Rhinolophus ferrumequinum: one gene and its partner. The protein of the gene in region 2 interacts with the protein of the main gene of each other region in a pairwise test. Links are inferred from orthologs where the notes say so. Each region holds a gene or a part of one and is shown on either strand. Other genes may lie near its edges.

The links.
Region 1: the proteins of PNMA1 (region 2) and TNNI1 interact in binary tests that used the Homo sapiens proteins (3 or more experiments, as listed by UniProt). The two-hybrid records come from large-scale screens. The link is inferred for Rhinolophus ferrumequinum from reciprocal best matches to the Homo sapiens genes PNMA1 and TNNI1.

What each region holds. Positions count from the first base shown.
Region 1 is NC_046310.1:929,097-937,055, forward strand, and holds the start of TNNI1 (troponin I, slow skeletal muscle), read left to right. Parts: upstream 1-4,940; 5' UTR 4,941-5,027; intron 5,028-7,555; 5' UTR 7,556-7,572; coding exon 7,573-7,583; intron 7,584-7,959. UniProt on the Homo sapiens protein: Troponin I is the inhibitory subunit of troponin, the thin filament regulatory complex which confers calcium-sensitivity to striated muscle actomyosin ATPase activity.
Region 2 is NC_046289.1:24,573,708-24,580,191, forward strand, and holds PNMA1 (paraneoplastic antigen Ma1), read left to right. Parts: upstream 1-4,069; 5' UTR 4,070-4,153; coding exon 4,154-5,215; 3' UTR 5,216-5,965; downstream 5,966-6,484.

The DNA of each region.
Region 1 (7,959 bases), on a different chromosome or scaffold from region 2:
TTTTTTTTTTTTTTGGTACTTTCTGGAAAATTTCTTCAACTTTATTAGCCTTCTACTGAATGTTTTATTGTTCCTATCATATTCCTATTTTCCAAGAGGTATGAAATGTGATCAGACAATATGATGAATGTTTAAATTAAAAAAACCTTATTCCAGTAAAGGACACATTGCCATTAATCCCCCTCAGAAGACCCCCCCCTCGCTTCAAACACCCTTATCCCATGTTCTTACCACTTTCTGAAGCAGTTCTGGAAGTCCTCTTTCGAGAGTGTCTAGTTGCGCTGTCGTGGCTGCCTCGATGTCCTGAATCATTTTGACTTTGGGGAAGAGCCAGAAGTCACAGATCTCGTGAATAAATTGGATGAGGGCACACCGTAATTTTTTTGTTGGACAGAAATTGCCATACCAGAAGAGAGGTGTTTTTATTTAAACATTTGCTGTATTGTTTGATCACACCTTGTAGTCGGTAGATCACAAATAAGTCACATTCACATTTTGTCTCTGACACACACACACACACACACACACACACACACACACACACACACACGCGCGCGCGCGTGCGCCCTCTGGTGGACAGGAGCAGAACTTCACCTCCAGCTCCTGGGAAGAGGCCTATGGATGCCGAGTGTTCTCACTCGAAGACGCACACAGAGAAGGACCGAAATGAAAACCACAGTAGTTCCTTAGGAAAATTTCCCTAACTTGTCATTTTAGGGACATTTGATTAACTCACGACACCACACAATCCGCAGAGCTCGCTATGGTGGCCAATCCCACACTCGGTAGCTGGCAGATGAGGGGTTTCTCGACTGGTTCCTGTTACTCGCTGTCATTGACAGAATGAAAAATCAGACTTCATTTTTCTTTTTAAATTTTTATTGGGGAATATTGGGGAACAGTGTGTTTTTCCAGGACCCATCAGCTTCACATCAAGTCGTTGTTTTCAATCTAGTTGTGGAGGGCTCAGCTCAGTGGCCCATGTGGGAATCGAACCGGTGACCTGGGTGTCATGAGCACTGCACTCTAACCACTGAGCCAACTGGCCCCACCTCGGGTGGGTTCTTTGCTCTGCGTGATTCCAGGAACACTGCGTTGGTCGTTTGGAGAGTATCAGCGCTCCGAGCCATGCAGATCTTCCCAATGTTAACACATTCCATCCGTCATACAGTGGTTTGTGAAAAATCAGTCTTTAATATCACCGCCCATCGTATGGGAAGAGCCTGCAGGTCTGGGAGGCTGTCGCGCTCACATGGCAGATACGGATACTCTAAGATTTCCATTTTCTCTTGAAAGCTGGAATTTTATAAGTGGCCACAAATATGCTCGGTTGTTTCCCTTGAGAAACCAGGCCCACTTTGTTCATTTTTGAAAAAATATCTACTAATATTCAAGTCCAACTACCTATAGTTTTTCAGTCAGTCATTCTTTCATGTAAAAACGGAAAAGCAGCTGGAAGTGCTATGCTTCACACTTTGGTAGATGGCAGGGAGCTCTGTGCACAGCGACCATATTTACTAGAATAGGATGAGCCCTTTGCTTCCTCGGGGCACCCGTCCATAAACTGGCTTTTCTCCGGAGGGTGCATGGGGGGGCAACGGTGACTGCTGGCGCAGTTTGAGAAGAGACAGGTCTGTCCTGCTAGGCCAGACGCCATCCCATCTCCCGCTCTGGCTGGAGGGTGAATTCATTTCACCCCAGCCTTCTGAGCCCCTTTTGGTCCCCGGACTGTTCCAGTGGTTACCCCCTCAGTGTAGTCCTGTGTCAATGGTACCCTTTCCCCACTGGACCAACAGCGGGTGATCAAAGGGGAGGGTTTTGGGTTGTATTCTCCTACAGCCTGTGACAAGGAGAGAAGAGTTGGGCAGAGGTTGTGACCCATGTCTGCCTGGGAGTCTGTGCTGTGGTGTGGGAGGAACACAAGGAGAGGCCTTCTCTTTCTTGCCCTGAGAGGCAAGTGGCAGCTTCCCCACCCCCTCCCCCCCTGTGGAAAGGGCAGGGGCCCATGGAAGCCCTATCCTGGGAAGGGGGTTTGGAGTTGGGCAGAGGTTATCTCATGCTGGCGGGGGTCCTGAAGGGACTTCATTGGAACCTCTGATGAAGAAGGCCCCTCCTGAGCCGTTCCTCCCCAGACTCCTGCAGAAGAGCTATGGCGTGGGGCAGGAGTGTGAGGTGAGCGGAGAACGAGGGCTGCTGAGGTCTGGGGTTTGGTCAGAGAGGCATGGCGGGGGAGGAGAAAGCGAGCAGGGCCAGGGCCCTTTGTCTGTGTTGGTGCCTGTCCCCTGACATTCCAGGCTCTGGCCTGGACACTGGTGGAGGGGGTGGTCATAGCTCAGGGTGACCTGAGGGGCTAAGTTTAACATCAACAAAGGTCCAGCTGCCCAGCTGTTGTTTCTGTTTCAGTCTGAGAACATTGTTGGAGGGGACAGTTGTTCATCACCGATAACGTCAGCTTGTGGCTGTGACAACACCTCCCTCGGGGAGGGGGCAGCTGGTGCCTGGGCCTTCTGAGCACCTTGCCCCTATACCCTCAGCCATGAGCTCCCCAACCTTATTTCAGGACCCCCAGGGAGCAAGCAAGACGTCCTCCTGAGCCCTGAGAGGCAATTTCCTGTAGAGTCTTTGGTCAGAAGGCTCCTCTCTGTGTTGTCCATTCAGCTATTCAATGAGCATTTATTGAGCACCTACTATGTGTCAGGCACTGTGCCCCTTTTGGTCCCCTGCCTCTGTTCCAGTGGTTACCACCTGGGTGTAGTCCTGTGTCCACAGCGAGCTGGCCGCAGAGAAGAGCACGGAAGCCATAACCGGGCCCTGCTGACGGGGCACGTGCTCTGGGCAGCAGACACACCTGTGGAGACACACCTGTCTCCTGGGGACCTTGAGTGAGTTGCTTCACGTTCTGAGCCCCACTTCCTCTTCGGTGAAGGGGGCTGAGGACGGTGCCTGCGTGGCTCACGTTTGTCAGGCGATTGCCTCGTGCAGACAACCCCGTCTCAGCTCACAGCAGCCTGCTGAGGGGGACTGACTGCTACCCCATTTCACAGGGACAAACGGAGGCTCAGAGCCAGTGTCCCTGGTGGGTGGCAGAGCTTGTGCGACGCACCCTGTGCTGTGTCTCCAGTGCCACTGGCCTTCCTAGTGAGGCCCTTTGTGGCAGAGATTGAGGGGTGACGACTTTTTGGGTCTTTTCTTTGTTCCTTCTGCTCTAGCTCCCCAGCCCCCAGCCTAGCAACTGTGGGGGGCGGCTTCAGATGGGGTTGTGCAAGGCAGAGAGGGGCTGTGCTGGCTGTCACCAAGGCCAGGGCCCCGGCCGTGGGGGGAGGGGAGCCGGGAAGACAGATGCCCCTGCGCCTGGTCACTGGCTAATTTGGGCTCCTTGTTTCTCAGACAATGCCTGGCAGCGGGGCTGACAGGTGCCGGCCACTGAGGGGACAGGCCTGACTCCACAGCTATGGCCTTCTAAGGATTAGCTCTTCCAGCCGGACACATTCTTCCCTATCCTGGGAGGGGACTGTGGGACCTGGGGCAGGGGCCTGGCCCCACTCCGCCCCTGCAGAACTTGAGGAGGATTCCCCCACACACACACATGAGCCTCAGAGTCCGTGAGTCCCTGTGGTTTCTGCAGACGCGTCCTCTGGATGTATTCACGTCTGGACCACATTTTGCTCTTCTCTGTGTCAGTCTCCTCTCTGCTTTTCCTTTTCCAAAAGCAGTATAACCTTGCTCACAATTCATTCTTTTGTGCATATGAAGGTATTGTAAGAAAGTTCTTGCGTAAATTAAAAACATAAGCAATGCCACAAACCCCCGTGGACTCCGCCCCAGCCCCTGAATTCCTTCTCTGACCCCAGATGCGCCTCGGCTGCTGGCGGCCCTTACTTTCCATCCCCGCCCCTCCACCTGGAAGCCTGCGTCCCCGGCCACCACCATGACTTCCCAGACCTTGTCCCTTCTCCCTGGCAGCCTTCCAGAGTGGCGTCTCCCCAGGTTGACCTGACCCGAGCTGCAGTGTCCAGGGGGCAGGGCCTTGGCCCCTCCCTGGGCACGGTGGGGCTGTCGCCTTAGAACACCCGTTGCCAGCTCTCTCCCCCACCACACAGGGCACACGGTGGCATGGCGTGGCTTGCCAGGCCTCTCGCTGGCCTCCAGCGGGTCAGCATCCTGCTTGTCCTGGCCCAGCCGGCGCTCCTGGCCCACGAGGTGGCCGACGATAATAGCCACGGGATTAGCATAGTCGGCCTTGTCCTGCTCTGACTATAGGTGGGTATTATGTGTTCACCCACCATCCTAAAAATACCCCGTAAACAGGTGCAGCCCCGAGGGCACCAGCCCCCTGGGTTCTCTAGCACGCGGCTGGAGACAAAGGGAGGGCGGGAGAGGGGAGTTAAGTTCACTGACATCCAAGCCTGGGACGAGGGGTGCCATTCGGAACCTGGGAAGCCTTGATGCCTGGAACCCCAGCTGGAGAGGGGTGCAGAGCCCCTGCAGGCCCTCAGGCTTCCAGGAGCTGTTGCTGTGGCGTGGGCTCAGCAAAGGACCCTCTCTGCAGCACAGTTACGTCACCCCCGGGCACACGGGCACCAGAGCCACACGGGTCCCCCCCAAAGATCGGGGCGTGGGCTCGCGGCCTGATGTCCATGTCTCCCTGTAAGAGACGGAGGGTCGTGGAGACGTTCCCCGCCCCTCGCCCCTCGGCCCAGTGCCGTCACTGCTCTGGCCCCCTTGCGTCTTACTTCCCATCCTCTCCCCTCTCTGTCTCCCTGACTTGACTCAGGTGCTGGCCTCTCTGTGCACAGGATTTGCGTGTCCTCCTGAGCCTTGTGCACACGTCATCAAGCCCGTGGGCCCATTCCGTGTGCTGCGGTGCCTGCCCTGGGAGCTGTGCAGTGGGAGGGGCAGCGGCTCTGTGCTATTTTTACTGGCAGTTCCCATTGGCCATAGTTTTCATAGCCTCCCGTCAGCGCGGGCCCCAGAGTCTGCAGTCGCCTGCTGGACACCGCCCGCCCAGCTCACGGACACCAAACCAGGTAGGTGTCTGCAGCTCCGAACTTCAGATCCAGGTCAAGCCCAGACCGAGGTGCTAGGCTGGGGTTCCAGGAGAGCACGAGGGCTTGGAGGTGGGAGAAGGCATTTCTTGCCTGTACAATTGGATTTGTTGGCCGTAGAGTCCACGGTGTTATGTCCCATTGGGTGCCGCGTCTCCTGCCCCGAACTTTGCACAAGTTGCTCCAAGGGCCCAGGGCAGAGCCTGCTGGGCTCTGTCTTCACACTGGCAGCCCAGCAAGTCCCAAGAGGAAGAGACCACCTGGGGGAGGAGACGGCATGGGGGATCAAAGGGCAGGGCGGGGCTGCGTGTGGAAATTTAGGAAGAGCCTGGTGGGCAGCAAAAGGGAGCAATGCCTGCATCAGACAGAGAGAAGGTCCTCTGGCAAGCAGGACTCGGGGGCCTGGAAGACTGAACCCCAAGCCCCGCTGACCGCAGACATCTCTTGCTTCTTTTTCTTTGTCTCTGAGGGACGGGCTTGTCTCGCTTTGCCGTCCATCTGGACAGCAGGACAACAGCAGGTGAGGGCGAAGGCCCCCCTCCTCCCACCACTCCTGGCTCTGAGAAGCAGCAGGCAGATGGCGACAGCATCTGGGTTGGGGCATGCGAGTCTGCACACGAGTGCGGGCAGCTTCTGTGCTGGGCTCCGTGGCTGGGGGGGCGGGGGGGGGGGCTCAGGCAGTGCCTGCCAGCAGGTTTGAGATTAGGCTTTCCTGGTCAGAGCTCAAGATGGGTGTGTGGTGTGTGGTCAGCCAGGGAGGACCAGGGTGCCCTGGAACTGGACCCAAGGTCAGGGTGGGGAGCAGCGGGAGGCACACGAGCCTCACTTGAAATGTGTGTCCCCAATGAGCAGTGTGCAGAGAACACACACACACACACACAATCACACTCACACTTATATACGCGGCCTCTGTCCTGTTGGTTCAGTTGATACACCGCCCGCCCCACGGGGCCTCAAAGAAGGACAAGCCCAGCTCTGAGTCAAACCCCGGCCTCCTCTCCCGGCTGTGGGTCTGTGGTTATCTCCTTGCTGGCCCCTTTTGGGGGAGATGGAATGCCGGTCTCCAGCAGCCCATTTGCTGCTATCTACATCCTGACTTCTTATCAGGTCCCTGCTGTCTTCCACAGGACCTGTCAAGGGGTCCTGTCTGGTGGGTATCACAGCACAGGCTGGGGACCCCTTGGCCTGGCATTTGTCAGTGGGGCAGGCCCTGGAGCTTGGCAGGAGGCCTGGACTGGCCTGGGCAGGTGGGCCCCACACTGGTGATGGGGTTTCTGAGGCAGGCCTGAGTATGGCTACATGCCCACCAAAGATGAGGCACATCCTGGGGAAAGAGCCAGGAGGCCCACAGGGCTGAGACCCGGGACCCTTGGGAGGGCAGTGATGATGGATGGACGTCCCCGGGTGGTTCTTCCCCAGCTAGTGTTTCTTTTTTGATTTTCTCAGTATCTCTGGAGGAGCAGAGCCCTCAGAATAAACAGCTGGCGATAAATCTAATTTCAGCCAAGCATGCTGAGAATGTATAGATGGATGGACGCCCACTTCTCCCTCTGTGCCCAGGGTGACAGCTGAGACTCCAGGCCACCCCCCTCTTCTCCAGGCTGCACTCTCCCTGGTGGCAGAGGCAGAGGCAGGGCCCAGAGGGTCTCTGGTGGGAGATTCAGGAGGGAAGCCAGCCCTGCTCCTGGCGGGGCGGTGCTTCTTGGGCACAAAGGGAGAGGTGAGCGTTAAGGCAGAGGCAGGAGGTCACCTGGTCAGGAGGTGGCTCTGGAGTGAAGTTGCTAGAACCACTGCCTGCTCCCAACCAGGTTCTCGGACCAAATCCGGACGGCTGACCTGGTGCCCCGACCCCATGCACACTGGTCCCCACCCGGCCCTCATGACCCAGCGGCGGACTCCTGTCCTGCCCTGCACACCACCCCACGCCCCCCCCCCCCTGTGTCCAGGCCCAGGCAGGATGGCCAGTCAAGTCTGGCCCCACTGCAGCCTCAAAGACCCCCTCCTGGGCTGGGGTCCCCAACAGCCAGGACTAAAGGGTCCTCCCAGAGGAGAGGGCTCCTGTGGTAACCCTGTAACCAGTGCCGTCTGCTCTGGAGGATTGTCTTTTGCTTCCAGGTGACACTCAGTCTGGGCAAAGCTTTAAAGAGCTAAATGTTACGTGGCAAACTTCTCTAAGCCCTAATTTTGCAGAGGAAACGGGCCTGGAGGGGCAGGCTGAGGATCAGGGTAGAACACACTCGGCCTTGCCTCCCTGCTCACCCACTCCACGTGGGGCGTCCTCACGACCTCAGCCCAGACTCCCAGCCATGTGGCTCCCCGGAGACCAGCCCTGGGCACAGTTACACTGCGCGGAGCGTGAACGGCAGCCCCTGGAAAGATGCACAAGTGTTTATCCCACCCTGACCCAGGGGACCCATGCTGTCTGGTTTCTTCTTCCTGTTGCCTGAAGAACACACAGGGTGGGGGTGGGGCTGTAACTGTCCTCATGAATGATTCTCCTGTGCCCCCAGGTGCTGCGCCCACCGCCATGCCGGAAGTGTAAGTGGCCCCGCCCCACGCAGGTCCCCTCACAGCACATTCAGACCCAGAGTTCAGGCTCCATCTGTCCAACCTCCGAAGCCTTTCCCCGAAAGGCCAGACCCGAGAATAGGAACAGCTCCGAGTGCCTGCGTCCCCAGCGTCCCCACGCGTCCTCCCGGCGTCTGAGCAGAACTCACACTCCCAGGTCACCTGGGGAAGACCACCCTGGCCTGTTGTAGACTTTGTCCATCTGCACGGGTCCGATGAATCACGTGTGCCAGGCCGTGATGTAATGCTGGCCCCATGGAGGAACCATCCCCCACAAGCCCAGGGATGGAAGCTTCTCGCTGCAGAACCCCTGGCGAGGCTTCTCTGACCCCCGCCCCCCACTTAC
Region 2 (6,484 bases):
GGACAGGTACTTATCCCTTTTCTGCTTGCTAATAGCCTTCTGGGGCTGGAAAGTTTTCTCTGATGTTTGGGGAAAGGGCCAATGTCCCTGTCCAAGCTCTCAGCCTGCTGGAGGTAAGGAAACTGCTGAGGATGGAAGCTCCAGGGCTAGGCCTGAGGGAGCTTTTGATGAGCCTTGGATCTTCCTACTTCCCACCTTTTTGCCAAATACTTTGGGCCCTGGAAGCTGCTAAGGGAGCTTAGCCCAGGCCCAGCCTGCCCCTCCTTGGTGCAAGTTCCCTGCCTGCTTCTGTCCTGCCCTTAGCAACTGTCACCTAACCCCACCCCACATGGTCTCTGCTGATAGCCACAGCCCAGCCCCCAGTCCTACATGCTGGAGATTTCTGGATCCTTCCCTGGGAGGGGGAGGTCTCCTAACCAGATTGGACAGGAGCCTTCATTTCTTGACTTGGGTCATTTGGGAGCTATTTATTTATTCTTAATATTTAATTTTTAACATCCTCTCAGGGACCAGGGGCCTCCTGCTTTTCAGAGGCCCAAGTGCATTTATCCCAAAACAAGGCACCTTCTTGTCATCTCCCCGCCCCCCGCTCCCCCCATTCCCAAGACCCTAAGGTCCCTCACCTTGTTGCTCTGGAACTTCTTGCCAGTAGAATGATAGTAACACTGAAAGGATGGGAAGGTGGAAGTTGTCACCAAAGCCACATACAGACTAGGAGGAGCAAGGGACATCAAAGGCACTTCTTGTTGCTACCTCTTCTCTGTCTGTACTTTCAAATTGCCGGAGGGGATGGCTAGAAGCCAGAAGTCTGGTTTTGTTTTTGGCTTGAAGTAGCCGTATTTGGCATGGAGTTCACTGGAGTGAAAGGGCTGGAAGGTTTTGGAGGCCCCTTCCCTTGCCAGTCCCACAGGAGGGCTGAGTTATTTTTCTGATCTTGTTACTCAATTTTAGTTGTGTAAAAGAACCTCTAAGTGAGTGCAAGTAGATATATGACAAGTCAACCTGTTAGGAAGGAGCCAAAAAGTACTCATTCTGCTACTCCTTTTGAGATAGCTTAAAGCATCATGTTGGTAGCCGGGAGTGGAAGGCTGTTTTGTTTCTAAACTATGCACTATCGGGTATTTTTCAGCATTCATTTAATGCATTAATATGGTCCTACAGGACCCCAGCTATGGGAGCAACAAAATTCTAACCCAGTTAATTTCTTCTATAAGCTCGTTAAGTTCAATACCCCAAGATTGCAAAAATCTGGTATACACTCCAGAAAACAGAGAGGTAGCAAATTTAGGCTCTTTTCTAAATCACTTGTGTAATCTGAGTGCCTTCACAGCTTTGCCCCAAAGTGCTACTTATGTTTCCCAAGGTTTTTTCTATTTAAATTGTGTTTAGTTTCAGGCCCCTTTATGAACATGTAACAGAAACCTCCTTTGTCTAGAGTGATTCTCCTTTTCTAAGCTCATAGGAGACCAGACCAGGTGAATGTAGGTAGAGTACATCAAGATGACACCTCTCTGTATAAATCCCACCAGACACCGTATTTTAGAAGGGTTCATGTTCCAGGATAGACATATCTAGAATGCAGTGTGAGAGTTAAAAATGTTTAGAGGGCAAATGCAATTGTGGCAAGTAACGTGCCAATTAAGTAGGTGCAGCCATAGCAGCTGGCATAGGTATATTTTTTATGGTGCTTTCTCCCGGTGAACATATTAGGCTCATCTTTTGTTTCTTCTTCTATTCAGAGCTCTTTGCTTTAAGAAGTTAAATGACAAAACATCTCCAGCTTTATAATGTCCTCCCCACACCATCTCACATAGCCATCTCCCAGCCTCCATCTGCACTCAGTTAAGGGCATGAAACTAACTTAGTGCCTGTGTTCCAGACCATTTCTGAGGTCTCTTACCCACCCAAGGAGATAGTGCTTCAGCACTGTCCTCCATGCCTTCAGCAGCCCCCCTCACAGATAATGTACCCACCCATCCCTTCTGCCACCCCATCCCCACCCCTGGCACAGAGGTCGTGTGCTGCTTATGTCTAAAGGTATCCCCTATATTTAACTGCCTCAGTGACCTAACCTCTTTCTTCTCATGTGCCAGATGCTAAGATGAAGGAGGAATACAATACATACTCAAGCCCCAGCTGTTTAAATGTTTTTACTGGGGCTCACTTTTCTCGGATGGTATTTATTACCAGACTGGCAAGCCTAACTCCTTAGGTTTACAGGAAGTATACATATTTTTATAAAACAATTGTATGTCCTCCACATATTTTGCTGTGTTAATATTTGCCTCTAACAATTTGCAGCTGTTTCACCTTTTCCTCATTTGTCTCTAAATTGAAGGCCTTGTTGGAGAGAACAGAGCACAGGAACAGCTTTGACAGTCTGTAATTATTGTACAAATATTTTAATAGCATATAAATAAGTATATTCCTTTTATTTTGGAAAAAAATGAACAGACACTGCCTTTTGTGTGTTTGCTGCCTGTGGCACCCTTTTTAAAAAAGACTGTTACATGTTAAAATAGTGTACATATATATATAAATATTACCTCTTTTGCTGTACAGTTGTGATAGACCAGACGGAAGATTTTATTTTTTGTGTGCTTTTTATATAAAAAAATTAATACACTAAAGAAAATCTTGCTGATGTGATTGTAATGTACCTATGTAACTTATTTACTTTTGAATGTTCTTCTGTATCTTTAAACCTTTTATTACATAAGGTTTTAAAAATTCAGAGTTGAATGATGTGTTCTTTTGGGGAGATTTTCACCATCTGGGATTGACGTAAATAGGCCTTGTTTTGCTTGCAGAGGATTACTCGACATATTTGAACCATAAGGATTCTGTTTTATCAGCCCATTGTCAATGATGCCAGGACTGGACATTAACACATTAGCGTTTTCCTGGCTATAGAAATTACTAAATTGACATGGATTTTTTTAACAAAATGTTAGACAAGTCTCAACCCAGTGTCTCACAAAAACACATGTAAATGTCACATTTCCAACATTCATTGGGATGAAATATGGAGGGTACAGATGTGATCAGGTGGCACAGGGAAGCCTCGGGGCTGAACAGGGTGTTTTCATATGTAACATTGACTGTACGAACGACCTGAGTAGACAAGCCTGCTTTGACGGATGCATTTTCAACAGTATCATCTTAAATCCACTCCAGAAGTATATCACTATCTTAAACACGGTGCTCTGAAAAAAAAAAATCTGGAAAATATTAAAAAGGCAATGCGCCATCAGAGAAACCAGTGCCTGCAGCCCCTGGCTGGCACCATGGCAACCGCTCGACCGCACTGGCCGCCTGAGCGCGCGGATCTCGCGTCGTCTGGGCCACCGTTGCCATGGCTACACAGGAGCTAGCTGGGCCGCGGGGGCGGAGCGGGAGGAAGCCACTCGCCCGGCCGGCCCCGCCTTCCACTGCCGCAGTATCTCCTCGGCTGGCTGCGGGTCCGACTTGGGGGCAGCAGCGGCGCGCAAGCCCGCCACAGCCTGCGCCTCCGTGCCTGTGTCCTCGGTCCTCGGCTGTCCTCGCCGCCCAGAGGGACCCCTGCACCCGCGAAGAAGCCGCTCGCGAACTGGCCCTGCCGCCGCTGCTGCGACCACAGGACAGTCTCCCTCCAGGAGCGGCAGAACCCTCGTCTGCAAAGCAGCCGCCCCTGAGCCGACTGAAGGCCCGGCTCTGATCGCGAACGCCGGCGCGATCAACTCCTGCAGCAGCGACTGCCCGGCGCGCCCGGGCGGCTTAGAGGAGGCGGCCACACCCCCGCGACCACACCCCGGCGGCCTCTCCAGCCCGACAGCTTCAGCCTCCGCCGCCCGCCCTGGCTCCAGGCCTTCTCTTGCAACGCGACACCATATGTGCAGGTGGAGGACCGGGGCCGCGGACCCCGACCTGAGACGCAAGATGGCCGCGGCCGCGTGACTGAGCATTCCAGAGGCTTTGCTGCGAGAACGCGCCGACCACCGACTTTAGGGGGCAGCGAAAGGACGAGAGCGGGACTCTGGTGTCATTTGCTAATTGTGATTGCATGAAGCATATTGGGTGAAAGGGGAGTGTCTGCTGTTGTCCTAAGCCCTAGAGCACAGGGAGCCACAGTCTAAACCGTATTTGTAGGATTGGGCTCTTGATAGTTGGGAAAATGGCGATGACGCTGTTGGAAGACTGGTGCAGGGGGATGGATGTGAACTCCCAGAGAGCCCTGCTGGTGTGGGGGATCCCAGTGAACTGTGATGAGGCTGAAATCGAAGAGACCCTCCAGGCTGCGATGCCCCAGGTGCCCTATCGAGTGCTTGGGAGAATGTTCTGGAGGGAAGAGAATGCGAAAGCAGCCTTGTTAGAGCTCACGGGCGCTGTCGATTACGCGGCCATCCCCAGGGAGATGCCAGGTAAAGGAGGGGTCTGGAAAGTGGTCTTTAAGCCCCCGACTTCCGATGCCGAATTTTTAGAAAGGTTGCACCTCTTTCTAGCGAGAGAGGGGTGGACCGTGCAAGATGTTGCCCGTGTCCTTGGGTTTCAGAATCCTGCTCCGGCCCCAGGCCCAGATATGCCAGCAGAGATGCTAAACTATATTTTGGATAATGTTATTCAGCCTCTTGTTGAGTCCATATGGTACAAGAAGCTGACGCTGTTCTCGGGGAGGGACATCCCGGGGCCTGGGGAGGAGACCTTTGATCCCTGGCTGGAGCACACCAATGAGGTCATAGAGGAGTGGCAGGTGTCTGATGTGGAAAAGAGACGGCGGTTGATGGAGAGTCTTAGGGGCCCTGCCGCTGATGTCATCCGCATCCTCAAGACTAACAACCCTGCGATAACCACCGCCGAATGCCTGAAGGCGCTTGAGCAGGTTTTTGGAAGCGTGGAGAGCTCTAGGGATGCGCAGGTCAGATTTCTGAATACTTACCAGAACCCAGGAGAAAAGTTATCGGCTTACGTCATTCGTCTGGAGCCTCTGCTGCAGAAGGTGGTGGAGAAAGGGGCCATAGATAAAGATAACGTAAACCAGGCCCGCCTGGAGCAGGTCATTGCCGGGGCCAACCACAGCGGGGCCATCCGAAGGCAGCTGTGGCTGACTGGGGCTGCGGAAGGGCCAGCTCCGAACCTCTTCCAGTTGCTGGTGCAGATCCGCGAGGAGGAGGCCAAGGAGGAGGAGGAGGAGGCTGAGGCCGCCCTCCTGCAGTTAGGCCTAGAGGGGCACTTCTGAGCCCCAGGAAACCGAGCTGTAGTGCAGACCTAGATCACAGCGCTTTTGTCTTGTCTGTGCTCTCTTTTACGCGTGTCTTAGTCAAGTCCTGTTTTCTGGGGGGAAGTCGGGTCTGGGTATTCATGCTAACATTAGTAAACTCATGCAAGCGAGCACCTTGAGCGGCCGCAAGTGAGTCCTAGCTAAATGCCCGGTAAAATGCCGGACCCGAGAGCTCAGTGCAAGCTGTCATCGTGGCATCATCAATTGTGAAAAACATGTGAACTTGTGACACTTCTTATCGAGGTACTTAAATTGCATGTTCAGATGTTTAGCCCAGAGCCTGGCTAACACAAGAAGTGTTCAGTGAAAATACGAACTATTGTTACTAATATCGTGAATGGTTTTTGTGTTTACTGTAAATTGTTCCTGATTTATATTAATGGGAAAAATGTGAATTAATTAGATGTTATCATTCCACTTTACAGTGCTAATTATTTTTCATCTTTAAACATCTGGAACAGTATAATTGAAAAGTATTCTGAGACTACAAAATGGGGTGTTAGAAAAATACTGCAGTTACAGAGCTGTGTAAATTAGAAGTTTTCACTGTACAAGATACAGATATAAATCGCATGGGGAGGTTAATATGAACCGGCTAGAGTATCCATTTCAAATCTTTGTCATTGAATAGTTCTTATTCATGCTGATTGTGTTCTAAATTTGAAGTTATCAAATACATGTATACGAATAAAAATATTTAAAAAATTGTATTGTCTGGTTTTTCTGACTTACAAAAATTTCAGTTCAATTAAAGTCTGAATTCTTTTCAGACTTCACCATGTCACTAAAAAAAAAATCGAACCTCAGTTATTTTATCTTTAAGCTTTATATAATAAATACTATGTAAATTTAAACTGCAGTACCTTTTAATGTATTCTATTTTTGCTTGTTTTCTACAAGGCAAATGTTCGGAGGCTCAGTAGATATAAATAAATATTAGCCTATAAAATGTTAGGAAATCCTACAACGGCATTTAGGAGGTTATGTATCAATGCTCTTTCTCCCCTTTTAAGTCCATTTTCAGTTAAAAATGTTTTGCTGCAGGAATTATATGATAACTTCATACCTGTGTAAAATGAATGTCTCAGTTTTACAGCAGCCATTTTATATTGAGGATATAAAAAGGAAAATAAGGCTTAAAAATATGCTTATTTGGCTGCAGAGATTCAGTGACTAAAGATGTCCATCTTTTGAGATCCTACTAAATCCAGAAGTGATTACATGAAC